Callithrix jacchus: one gene and its partners. The protein of the gene in region 1 purifies or fractionates together with the protein of each later gene. This does not show direct contact. Links are inferred from orthologs where the notes say so. Each region holds a gene or a part of one and is shown on either strand. Other genes may lie near its edges.

What was found.
Region 2: the proteins of TUBGCP3 (region 1) and NEDD1 purify together in Homo sapiens (affinity purification with mass spectrometry; 3 studies listed by BioGRID and IntAct, with this or other methods). This does not show direct contact. The link is inferred for Callithrix jacchus from reciprocal best matches to the Homo sapiens genes TUBGCP3 and NEDD1.
Region 3: the proteins of TUBGCP3 (region 1) and LGALS3BP purify together in Homo sapiens (affinity purification with mass spectrometry; 4 studies listed by BioGRID and IntAct, counting the BioPlex papers as one, with this or other methods). This does not show direct contact. The link is inferred for Callithrix jacchus from reciprocal best matches to the Homo sapiens genes TUBGCP3 and LGALS3BP.

What each region holds. Positions count from the first base shown.
Region 1 is NC_133502.1:27,996,958-28,000,609, forward strand, and holds part of TUBGCP3 (gamma-tubulin complex component 3), read right to left. Parts: intron 3,004-3,652; coding exon 2,868-3,003; intron 2,040-2,867; coding exon 1,971-2,039; intron 1-1,970. UniProt on the Homo sapiens protein: Component of the gamma-tubulin ring complex (gTuRC) which mediates microtubule nucleation.
Region 2 is NC_133510.1:100,025,179-100,028,830, forward strand, and holds part of NEDD1 (protein NEDD1), read left to right. Parts: intron 1-2,916; coding exon 2,917-2,983; intron 2,984-3,423; coding exon 3,424-3,528; 3' UTR 3,529-3,652. UniProt on the Homo sapiens protein: Required for mitosis progression. Promotes the nucleation of microtubules from the spindle.
Region 3 is NC_133506.1:134,725,452-134,729,203, reverse strand, and holds the start of LGALS3BP (galectin-3-binding protein), read left to right. Parts: upstream 1-907; 5' UTR 908-1,008; intron 1,009-2,431; exon of another isoform or gene 2,432-2,434; 5' UTR 2,435-2,439; coding exon 2,440-2,509; intron 2,510-3,448; coding exon 3,449-3,640; intron 3,641-3,752.

The DNA of each region.
Region 1 (3,652 bases):
TTGTTTATGTACGTGGCATGGCAACTCTGACACTCTTAGTAAGATCTGCCACACTACGAAATAATTAATTATCTAGGCAATGTTCAGTTCACCTATTTGGCAAGGCTCTCAGATCTTGTGAAATAATCTACGCAATTATCTGTACTATGGTATCTCTTATGCTATGAAAATAACACGTAATGTACGCAAATTAATAAGGCAGGAGATGTGAAAGTTACTAATTTAAATAATTTGTGAAGCCCAGGCATGGTGGCTCACGCCTGTCATTCCAGCACTTTGGGAGGGAGGCAGGTGGTGGTTAGGACTTTCGAGACCAGCCTTGCCAACAGTTTGAAAGAAACTCCATCTCTACCAAAAATTTTAAAATTAGCCAGGCATGGTGGCTCATGCCTGTAATCCCAGCTACTTGGGAGGCTGAGGCAGGAGAATCACTTGGACCCAGCCAGGAGAGGTTGCAGTGAGCCAAGATCGCACCACCGCACTCCAGACTTGGCGACACAGTGAGACTCTGTCAAAAATAAATAAATAATTTGTTAAAATATCACACTACTTCTTGCATTACAACCATTTTAAATTGTTTAAGACATAAGTCAAAGGAGAAAACGGGGATTTGAATATGATGAGAAATTAAATCTGAAGTGAGGCTATGCACTTAAAATATAGTAGCTTTGATCCATAAAGGCTACACACCCGGAACTTACATGTTAAAAAAAATCAATCCCAGCACTTTGGGAGGCCGAGGCGGGTGGATCACGAGGTCAACAGATCGAGACCATCCTGGTCAACATGGTGAAACCCCGTCTCTACTAAAAATTACAAAAAATTAGCTGGGCATGGTGGCGCGTGCCTGTAATCCCAGCTATTCAGGAGGCTGAGGCAGGAGAATTGCCTGAACCCAGGGGGCGGAGGTTGCGGTGAGCCGAGATCGTGCCATTGCACTCCAGCCTGGGTAACAAGAGCGAAAACTCCGTCTCAAAAAAAAAAAAAAAAAAATCGCACCAGCGGCTCCCACCTTACTGTAGGAGACAGGCTCACCAGTGGCAGGTTTCTTAATCCCAAAAGAAAACAGGGTGAGCGTGCCCTGACGCGATGATTTCAGCAGCGTGATGTGAACCTGAGACGTGGGGAAAGGTGCGAAGCAGGCTCTTCCAGAGCAACCAAGAAGAAATTTTAGAGCCCAACTATATTCCTTCTCAACAAAATACTTTCCCCAAAACCTCAAAGAAATGCAATGTCCTTCTTCAGTATTTCAGATACAAAGATAACTGAAGTAAGTTTAAAGGGGTATCTTGGTCAATGAAATGTACTGGAGTCTGAATACTTTAAAAATGAGCACTGAAAAGAGGTATTTTGAGTGCAGACATGGAAAAAGACGGCGTCCCTGGTCAGCCTTTTATGATTTGGTAAGTGTTATGCAGGTTGAAGCACTATGAACAAAGTACAGCTACTTCATCATCAGTTTAAATGAATACAAACATCAAACTTTCTCTCTGAAGGAAAGTGTAATTCCCCTAAAATACACTTTATAGCTCCTTTCAAATTATCCTAAATTAGTTGCTACAGTCTAAGAATAATGGAATGAAATGAACAATCTATTTATTAAGGACTTGCTGAAACCTATGATAGAACAAATGATATTTTTTGTTTTTTTTGAGACGGAGTTTGGCTCGTTACCCAGGCTGGAGTGCAATGGCACGATCTCAGCTCACCACAACCTCCGCCTCCTGGGTTCAGGCAATTCTCCTAAACAAATAATATTTTTAAGAATTTTTAAAATAATAGAGCAGTTCAGTACTCATTAATAATCATTTAAAATACACACACAATTTTGGCTTAAGTATTCATTCAATGAGTATGTCTTAGATGTCGAGTGATCACTTTAATTAGAAGTCCCCAGAGAAGAAAGCCGATTTCAAACAAAATGTTTAGCAATCCTAACAGCTGCAAATACTATAAAAGGATCATCTTACAGTTGCAATTGGTCCATCCACATGATAATCGAGGCTGAAGACATCCCACCCGGTGTCGCCTGGAGAGACCTAACAGAAACAAACACGTAACTGCAGACACATAACTGAGGACGTGTTGACTCAAAGAAACAGCAGTAAAAGAGCGCCCGATTGTTACAAATTGCTCAACAGTTCCGAGTGCATCTTCTTGTTAACGTCTATAACCTTACCAATTAGACAGCAATGAACACACAGTAGGTGCTCTGCAAACATCTGGCAACAAGCAAGGTATTTCTGAATGAATACTGTGGATACGTGTTTAAAATTCATTGTCATTTGCTTATGACAAAAGCCCACTGGAACTAAGTATGTTCCAAATCCTTAGCTATTCCAACATGACTCTTTGGACATTTTAAGAAAACCAATAGGTTTTGCTAATGATCTTTCATCACAACTAAGCAAATAGTGGGTTTATGTTTAAAATATCCATACCCTTAAGAAAAGTCACATCCTACCAAACTGAAACTAAAAACATCAATTTTCTGATAAATATCATTATATACCATGTCTTGTGCTCCTGTCAGATTCACTGTGAGAAGGAAGCACTATTTTCTAAGCATCTGCAATGTGCTACCAAGCACGGGGCAAGGGTGTCCTGCATTTTCTCCAACTTAAGCCCAGCAGCCCTGCAAGGCTCCCTGCTGTAAGATGAGCGCACAGAGGCACAGAGTGGAGTAGAGGGGGAGCTGGCCATGCAGTAACAAGGGAGAGTGGAATTCCTACTCAGGCTGCCCAGTTTCCAGAAACATAATGACCAGCTGTGCCTGAAGTAACATGGAAAGCACTCGCTACGACACCCCAGCCCAGGGGTCCTCAGGGCCGGGGCAGCGTTCCCAACACACGGGGCCACAGTAGTACCTCCAGCAGCCGCACGTCCAGCCTTCGCAGGATCTCAGGACTGTCAAACTGTGCGTTGGTGGCTCTGACCGCAGTTTCTAGAATCCCAGTCAGGTTATGCTGATATAAAGTCGTAGCTGGACGGACAAGTTCTGGTCTTAACAAATTTTTTAAAAATTAAAGAAAATATTACTTTAATTCTTAACTTTAAAAAAGCTTAAAAACTATAAAAATTAAGAGTTCAAATCATAACAACTCAAAAGAAAAATGGGACCAATACAATAATGTGGCAACGAAAGCCTCATGGCATTAACTGCAAACAGGGCTTACCAATTATTGTGGAGTTACATTTCTTTACAGTCTCAAAAATACTGGCCTGTAATCCCAGCACTTTGGGAGGCCGAGGTGGGTGGATCATCTGAGGTGAGGAGTTCAAGATTAGCCTGGCCAACACAGTGAAATCCTGTCTCTACTAAAAATACAATAATTAGCCAGTTGTGGTGGTGCACACCTATAATCCCAGCTACTAGGGAGGCTGAGGCAGGAGAATCACTTGAACCCAGGAGGCGGAGGTTGCAGTGAGCACCACTGCACTCCAGCCTGGGCAACAGAGTGAGACTCCATCTCCAAAAAAAAAAATGATTCTGATTCAGCTTAAACTGAAAGTACTTAGATGTGCTATGCTATACACATTAACAAAGTTTTCAAACTTCAGGCTGGCCTATGAGTTACATGAGCTGATATAATTTCCTTTTAGACCCGATGGTAGAAGGAGAGGTCTCCATCTCATCAGGGTATGTGGGTGT
Region 2 (3,652 bases), on another chromosome or scaffold:
TTTATTCTGTCAAGGGCATGAAGATGATGAAAACAGTCATGGGTCTCTTTTTCTCCTAGGAGGAACTCCTCATTTTCTGGAATTTACTTCATGTAGATTTCTTTCCATTTTAAGCTCTCAGTTGAATTTAAAATATTATGATTTTATAGGTTATCAGGTTTGTTTTCATTCTTAGAGTTGAGAAATTACACTTTTGCACCAACCTAATACATCCTAAGTAGAAATCTGTGTGTCTGTTTCTGTTGTCCATTAAGAAGATGTAAGTTTCTTTCAGTAAGCAGATCCCTGTGATCCTGTAGTTACTAGGTTTCAGGTTTTCTTAGCACTAGTTTGTTTCTGATTTGCCTTTACTCCTAGTGTGTAGTCTTTGCTCTTCTAGGACATGAGTTGAATGTCTGGAGTATTCTTTTTATCTTAGTGGGTCCTAAACTTTAACTTCTATTTTGCCAGCATCACAAGACTTCCAGATTACTTTCTCTGCTCTTGAGTTGCTTGTTTTATGGTTGCTTTTTGGCATCTAACCCAGGGCGAGCATTGCTTAGAAATCAACAGACATCTCGAGGGGAAATTGCGGTTTCAGGCTTGCTTTTCTGCAGGCCTCCCCTCTTCAAGATCTTGACTCTTACAGCCTTGGCTACCTTGGTAGTCCCAAACTCTTAATACTCCCTACCTAGTGAGACTATCTTAACCTCCAGACCACTGCTTCAGCTCAGTTTCTTCTCCACACTGTGGAATCAGCACATACTCTAGAAGGAAAACAGAGGTAAATGTAGTGCTTACCTAGTAGTCTTTCCTTCTTTGCAAGACCATGGCTCTTGACGTCCTGGCTACCTTGGTGGTTCCCTGATACAGTGTTTTTGTTTTTAATGCAGTTTTTACTATCACTGAAAGTAGAAGAGGAAAATTTTAAGAAAGCCTTGCTGTTACAACAGAAAAACAATAAGATACCTGGGAATAAATCTACCAAAGTAGTGAAGATTTTTGTAGAAAAACATTTTTAAACTTTTTGTTCAAAAGAATTAACATTTAAATAAATGGAGAGATTTTATAAAGATATCAGTTCACCTAAGTAGTTCGGTAGATTGAATGCAATTCCAATTAAAATCCCAGCTGGGATTTGGAAGAAGATGTTGAGGTGATTCCAAAATATGTATGGAAGAAAAAAAAATCTAGGAATAACCAAGACACTTCAGAGAAGAATAAGGTTGAAGGGGACTTGTCAGATGAATGTGCTTAATCATTAAAGTGTAATTAAGATATATAGCATGGCACAGGGAGGACATATTGGCCAGAGGAATCATATAAGCTGGAAAGAAACCTATGCATATATGGAAATGATAGAGAGGTAGCACTGCAGATTTGTGTGCAAAATATGAAATAATAAATTGTGTTGTGACATTGGATTTTTCGTATAAAGTTGACATAAGAGTTTATAACTTCATGGTAGGAAATCATTTAAAGCAAAATAATGCACTACCTATCAAAGTACATTGGTAAAGTTGACTGCCATGATTAGGTTAGGATATTTGAGCACATTAATAACAACTGTTCATCACAGTATATCACAGAGTGAAGGGATAAGAAGATATCTGCAGTTCTCATATAAAAAGGGATCAGATTATGTAAATAATGCTTATAAATGAATAAGAAAAGCATTTCAAGGAAGAGGAATGGTATATGAAAACAAGAAATATACTCAGCCTCATAATCAGAGAACTAAAAATGCAATGAGATACCATTTCCCATTCAATGGGAAAATATGAGAAATCTGGTAATACTAAGTCTTGATGATGATATAGAGCAAGAAGAACTCTGTTATACTGGTGATGAACATGTCCATTGATACTACCTTTGAAAAACAATTTGCATGACTTTGTAAAAGGGAGTATACTCTTGAGTGTATGTCATCGATGGACATTGGCCCATGTGAGTTGGGAGATAATACATGATTGATTATGACATTGTAATAATAAAAACTTTAAAACAATCAAAATTTTAACAGGAATATGGATACACCAATACAAACCAGTGAATTACAGATATATGGAACATGAATCTTCAAAACAATATTGAATTCTTCCTTAAAAATAAGCTATATGTTACCCTTTTTTGTAAAGCTTAAATGCTCAAGAACAATGAAAACATTGACTACAGATTATATGTTATACAAGGATATTAAAAAAGAACTTTTTTTGTCCAACAAAATTCAGGAGGGTAATGACTTCTTTCTTGGGCTTACCACCAAGAGTTAAGTGAGAATCAGGAACACACAGGAAGCTTCTATGATTTGGTGACATTCTAGTTCATAAGTTGAATGGTGGGTGACTGAGTGTTTTTTTATCATTATATTTCATAATTTTTATATGTTCTTTTGTAGGAATGAATTAATTGCATTTTATTGAGTCAGCCATGCTATAACCACCCAAATTGCCACTTTCTACTGAAAGTACATTTTTTCAATAGCTAAACTGATAATAAAATGCTCTTTCTAACCTAGTGAATTTTTCGTATTTCATTGTAATATAAGTTTGTGTCTTAATGACAATTTCTATATGAAAGAATATAGTATGGGGGAATTCAGTAGGTAGACAGCCTGAGTTTACATCCTACCTTCATCATTTACTGGTTGTGTGATTTTGGACAAGTTATAACTGCTCTGTGGCTCAGTTATTTCTTCGGTAAAATAGAGGTAATAATTGCACCTACTTGTGAAGATGTTTTAAATGAGTTCTCACATTTAAAGTAAAACAGTACCTAGCACATAGTAAATAAATGCTCAGTGCATTGGTATTTTTATATTATAATAATTATTAATATTCAGTAATTTGGCAAATGAAAAAGTTTTTTGAGTTTCTTGAATGAATTAGAATTGGTTAAACTATTGTAATTCTAAAATGTATTTTACATTCTTCCTAGAGAAGCATGCCATAGGGACATTGTGAATTTGCAAGTGGAGATGATTAAACAGTTTCATATGCAACTGGTATGTATGACGAATGTTATTTTAAATGAAAGTAGAGTTGTGTGAATTTTAAAAAATCCATTAAAGGTGATCTATTTTAGTTGTTTTATTTAATTTTTAAAATAAATAGGGTGTTTTAGACATTAAATAAGTAAAATAGATTTTCACTGGTCACCTCCTTTTGACCTATGAGATAGTTAAAGCTTCTTTTTCCCATGGCTTTCTTCCTGATGAGTAAGCAAAAAGCATCTTAAATGTGCAAATATAAATTTTCCAAATATATTAATTTTACCAGTGATCTTCCATTTATATTAACAAAGTAGTAAGAGTTAAGTACAAGAAATATCATTCACTTAGTTAATTGAACATGAGCAAAATGATAGCTGAAAGTATGTAAAACATAGACTGCCAAATAAATGTGAAATATCAGTAATTTAAAAGGCATTTTACCCTTTTTCTAGAATGAAATGCATTCTTTGCTGGAAAGATACTCAGTGAATGAAGGTTTAGTGGCTGAAATTGAAAGACTACGAGAAGAAAACAAAAGACTACGGGCCCACTTTTGAAATTTCAGTGAATACCTTAATGTTCTGTAATTTGGGAAGTTTCTGGGAACACAGAACTGCATAGAATCAGTATTGTTTTCATGGCCTCCAGGGAAGAGATTTTATTTTCAGGTAAAAGTAAAAG
Region 3 (3,752 bases), on another chromosome or scaffold:
TGCTCTGCCCCATGGGCCCCAGCAGCCTGGGCCCACATCCTCTCACTCGGAAGCCAGCTCTCACTGGGCTGGCTGGGCTCACAGCTCCACCCTGGAACCATCCATGTGGCCTGGAGGGCCCCTCAGGGCTCAGACAGCCAGACCTGGGGTGGTTGAAGGCCAAGAGCCGGGTGCCCTCTGGGAACCACACAGCCAGGAGTGGGAAGGGGTGCTCAGAGTAGGGAAAAGGAATGGGTATGAGTGGACAGAACCATTATGTCACCCCAGAGAGGCTCTGTCCCCCGCCCCGCTGAGGGGGAGACAGGAGAGCAGCCACAGGTCCAGCAGTGTGAACACAGGGTCTAGGGTCAGGTGCTGGAGCGGGGTCCAGCTCCTCCACTGGCCAGCTGCACACCTGGCTCTCAGGGCCTCCCTCCCCTGGGACAGGGGACAGTACCGCGCAGCGTTGCAGGGAACAGGCCCTCTGTGTGGTGAGCATGCCAAGAGCTCGGAGAGGGTGGATTTGCACATGAGCAACCACCTGTGCAGTGTCCACCCAGCCAGCAATGTGCTGGACCCAGGAAAGGACTCAGAGCGCTCTGTCACCCACAGGAACAAACTGTCTGGGCCCACAGCCTCTGCTTCTTCCCCTCCTGTCCCCCAAACGCCAGCCCCTGGCCGGCCTGGAGGCGTTTCCAACTGACTGTGGCTGTCAGTCTTCTTTCGGGCCTTGCTCCAGCCAGACTCCCGCCTTGGGCCTCTGCCATCCCGGCACTGACACCCACATGCAGAGCTGAGACAAAAGAGAGGGGCCCCCGGGAGTGTCGTCAGCAGCCAATCCCAGAAGGCATCTATGTCAGATGGTTTCTGGAAATCGAAACTTGACTGTTTCCTGAAGCATTTCCTGGGATCAGCCTGACCACGCTCCATACTGGGAGAGGCTTCTGGGTCGAAGGACCAGTCTGCAGAGGGCTCCTGGAGCTGGAAGCAAGGAGGCTCCAGCACAGCCATCACAGCCGCTCCAGCCAGGTAAGCTCCTGCCTCCAGCTCTCAGGTGGGCACCCCCGCCTCTCTCTCTTTTTTTTTTTTTTGAGACAGGGTCTCACTTTTTTACCCAGGTTGGAATGCAGTGGGGCGATCTCAGCTCACTGCAGCCTCTGTCTCCCAGGTTCAAGAGATTCTCCTGCCTCAGCCTCCCGAGTAGCTGGAATTATAGATGCCTGCCACCATGCCTGGCTAAATTTTGTATTTTTAGTAGACACAGGGTTTCACTATGTTGGCCAGGCTGGTCTTGAACCCCTGACCTTATGATCTGCCCGCCTCGACCTCCCAAAGTGCTGGGATTACAAGTGTGAGCCACCGTGCCCAGCCAGGGCACCCCTCTCTCTACACAGGCAAATGGGGGTCACTCCTCCCTGTTTGCACATAGGCCTGGAGCTATCCTTGCTGCTCCCAGGCCCATCTCTGTACAGTTGGGCAGATTGCTTACTACACAAGGATACCAGCCAAAGGGGCAAGTGGGCTGGAAATCAGCTTGGCCCTCTCAGGTCTGTGCATTGAGCCTAGGCCTGCACCCACCCCAACGAAGGGTACCTTTTTTTCAATTCACATGAAGGCACCCTAGGGGTCAACACAGATAGCCGGTCTCAACTTTCCATATGAAAGAATCAGGGAAATATACCCAGCCACTGCCACCCAAAGGGCAGCAATGGTGCCTGCCTGGTGCTTCATTGTCCACTTTTTTTTTTTTTTGAGACAGAGTCTTGCTCTGTCACCCAAGCTGGAGTACAGTGGTATGATCTCAGGTCACTGCAACCTCTGCCTTCTAGGTTTAAGCGATTCTCTTGCCTCAGCCTCCTGAGTAGCTGGGACTACAGGTTCACACCACCGTGCCCAGCTATTTTTTTTTTTTTTTTTTTTTGGTATTTTTATTAGAGATGGGGTTTTACCATGTTGGCCAGGCTGGTCTCGAACTCCTGACCTGAAATGATCCACCCACCTCAGCCTCCCAGAGTGCTGGGATTACAGCATGAGCCATCGCACCTGGCCAGTTGGCCATTTTTCCAAGGCCCTCGCCCATGGCCTCCTCCCGCTCCACCCTCCCCCATGCCTGTGCGGCAGCCTTGCCCGGCACCTGGTTTTCTGAGATGGGCTCACTCACTTCCAGTCACCAATTCTTGCTGTCCTTACTGCCAGGGGCCACCCCCAGCCCACCCCTTCATCTAGCCAAGTCTAACACATCTTTCCAGGACCATGCTGCAGACCAGGTGAGGAGCCCCTGTGGGGGCAACCACAGCGTCCATCACACTTACCAAGACCACAGTGGGCTCTGCAGGAGAGGTACCCTGCCTGCCACACAGCCCAGGTCGGGCTGAAGGGTGGATGGGCAGGCCAGTCCCCCGGCATCGGGCCACCGGGCTCCGGTGCCTCACTCCACCGCTTCCATCCACAGCAGGATCCATGCGTCCAGGCAAGGCCATGGTCCCTCTGAGGCTCTTCTGGATGTGGCTGCTGGTTGCAGGGACCCAAGGTGAGCTGAGTCCCTGGGAAATGCCAAAAGCAAAAGTCTGTGAGGCTGCTGCACCCTGGGTCTGTGCACAATGCCCAAAAGAGGTTGTGCCTGGGGTCTGAGGCCCGGTGGTTAGCCGAATCTTCTCTCTTCCGGTATCCTGAGTGATCATGGCTTGGAGGTTCCAGGGGCTCACCTGGGCTCAGGTGAGCTGCAGGTTATAGAGAGGACACCAGGGAATTCTCCATTCCATCCAGAGGGAACCAGAGGAGCTGATCAAAGCAGCAGTCACGGGGTGTTGTGGGGTCCATGGCCTTGGATGCAGGTCAAGCTTCCAGAGGGTCCTGGCTGCCTTTCCTCATATTCTTTACCCTGTGAGCCCCTGGAGACTCATGCTCATCCTGGGGGCCCCACAGAAGCCAGACGTGCCCCCAACTGAATTCAGCTCCTACCAGGCTCTGCCAGCTCCTGTAGGGGCGAATGTCAGTGGGCAGAGTCCCAGAAGGTCATGTGTGGGGTAGGAATCCCATTCTCTGCCCTGGAAGTATTCTGCCTGTGCTCCCAGGGGTCCCTAGGCCTGCTGTCCCCACTAGGCCAGCACCCGCAAACTGCAGACACCCTCAGGAGGGGTTAGCATGGAGCCGCCTTTCCCTCGGGGTCCTGCCACCTCCACTCCCAGTGCTGGAGAACCCAGGGCTTCTCTGCCCCGTTCTGTCTATGGAGTGAAGGGCTGAGACCCCTAAAACAAGGAACGGCATGTTTAGCCTCCATGTAGGGGGTCTGTATGTATCTTCCACTCCCCCTCACAGAGGTGCCCCTCACGGAGAGGCAGGGGGACCTTGAAGCACTGGAAAACAAGCTCAGCAGGGGAGTCCCAGGACAGCGTGGGGGCCCTAGAGGTTGGCGCGTGGGGGGGGCGCTGCAGGCTCCAGCCTCACCCTTGTTGGTCTCTCCCTGCAGCCGTGAACGATGGTGACATGCGGCTGGCTGATGGGGCCACTGCCAATGAGGGTCGTGTGGAGATCTTCTACAGAGGCCAGTGGGGCACTGTGTGTGACAGCCTGTGGGATCTGACTGATGCCAGCGTCGTCTGCCGGGCCCTGGGCTTTGAGAACGCCACGCAGGCTCTGGGCAGAGCTGCCTTTGGGCAAGGTAGGACCTGCTGTCCCTGTCCTCTGGGGCTGAGACCCACAGCATAGCCAGCTCCTGGGAGGGGTGAATCCCCTAAGACAAGACAACCAGGCTTCAAAGACATGCAAACTGT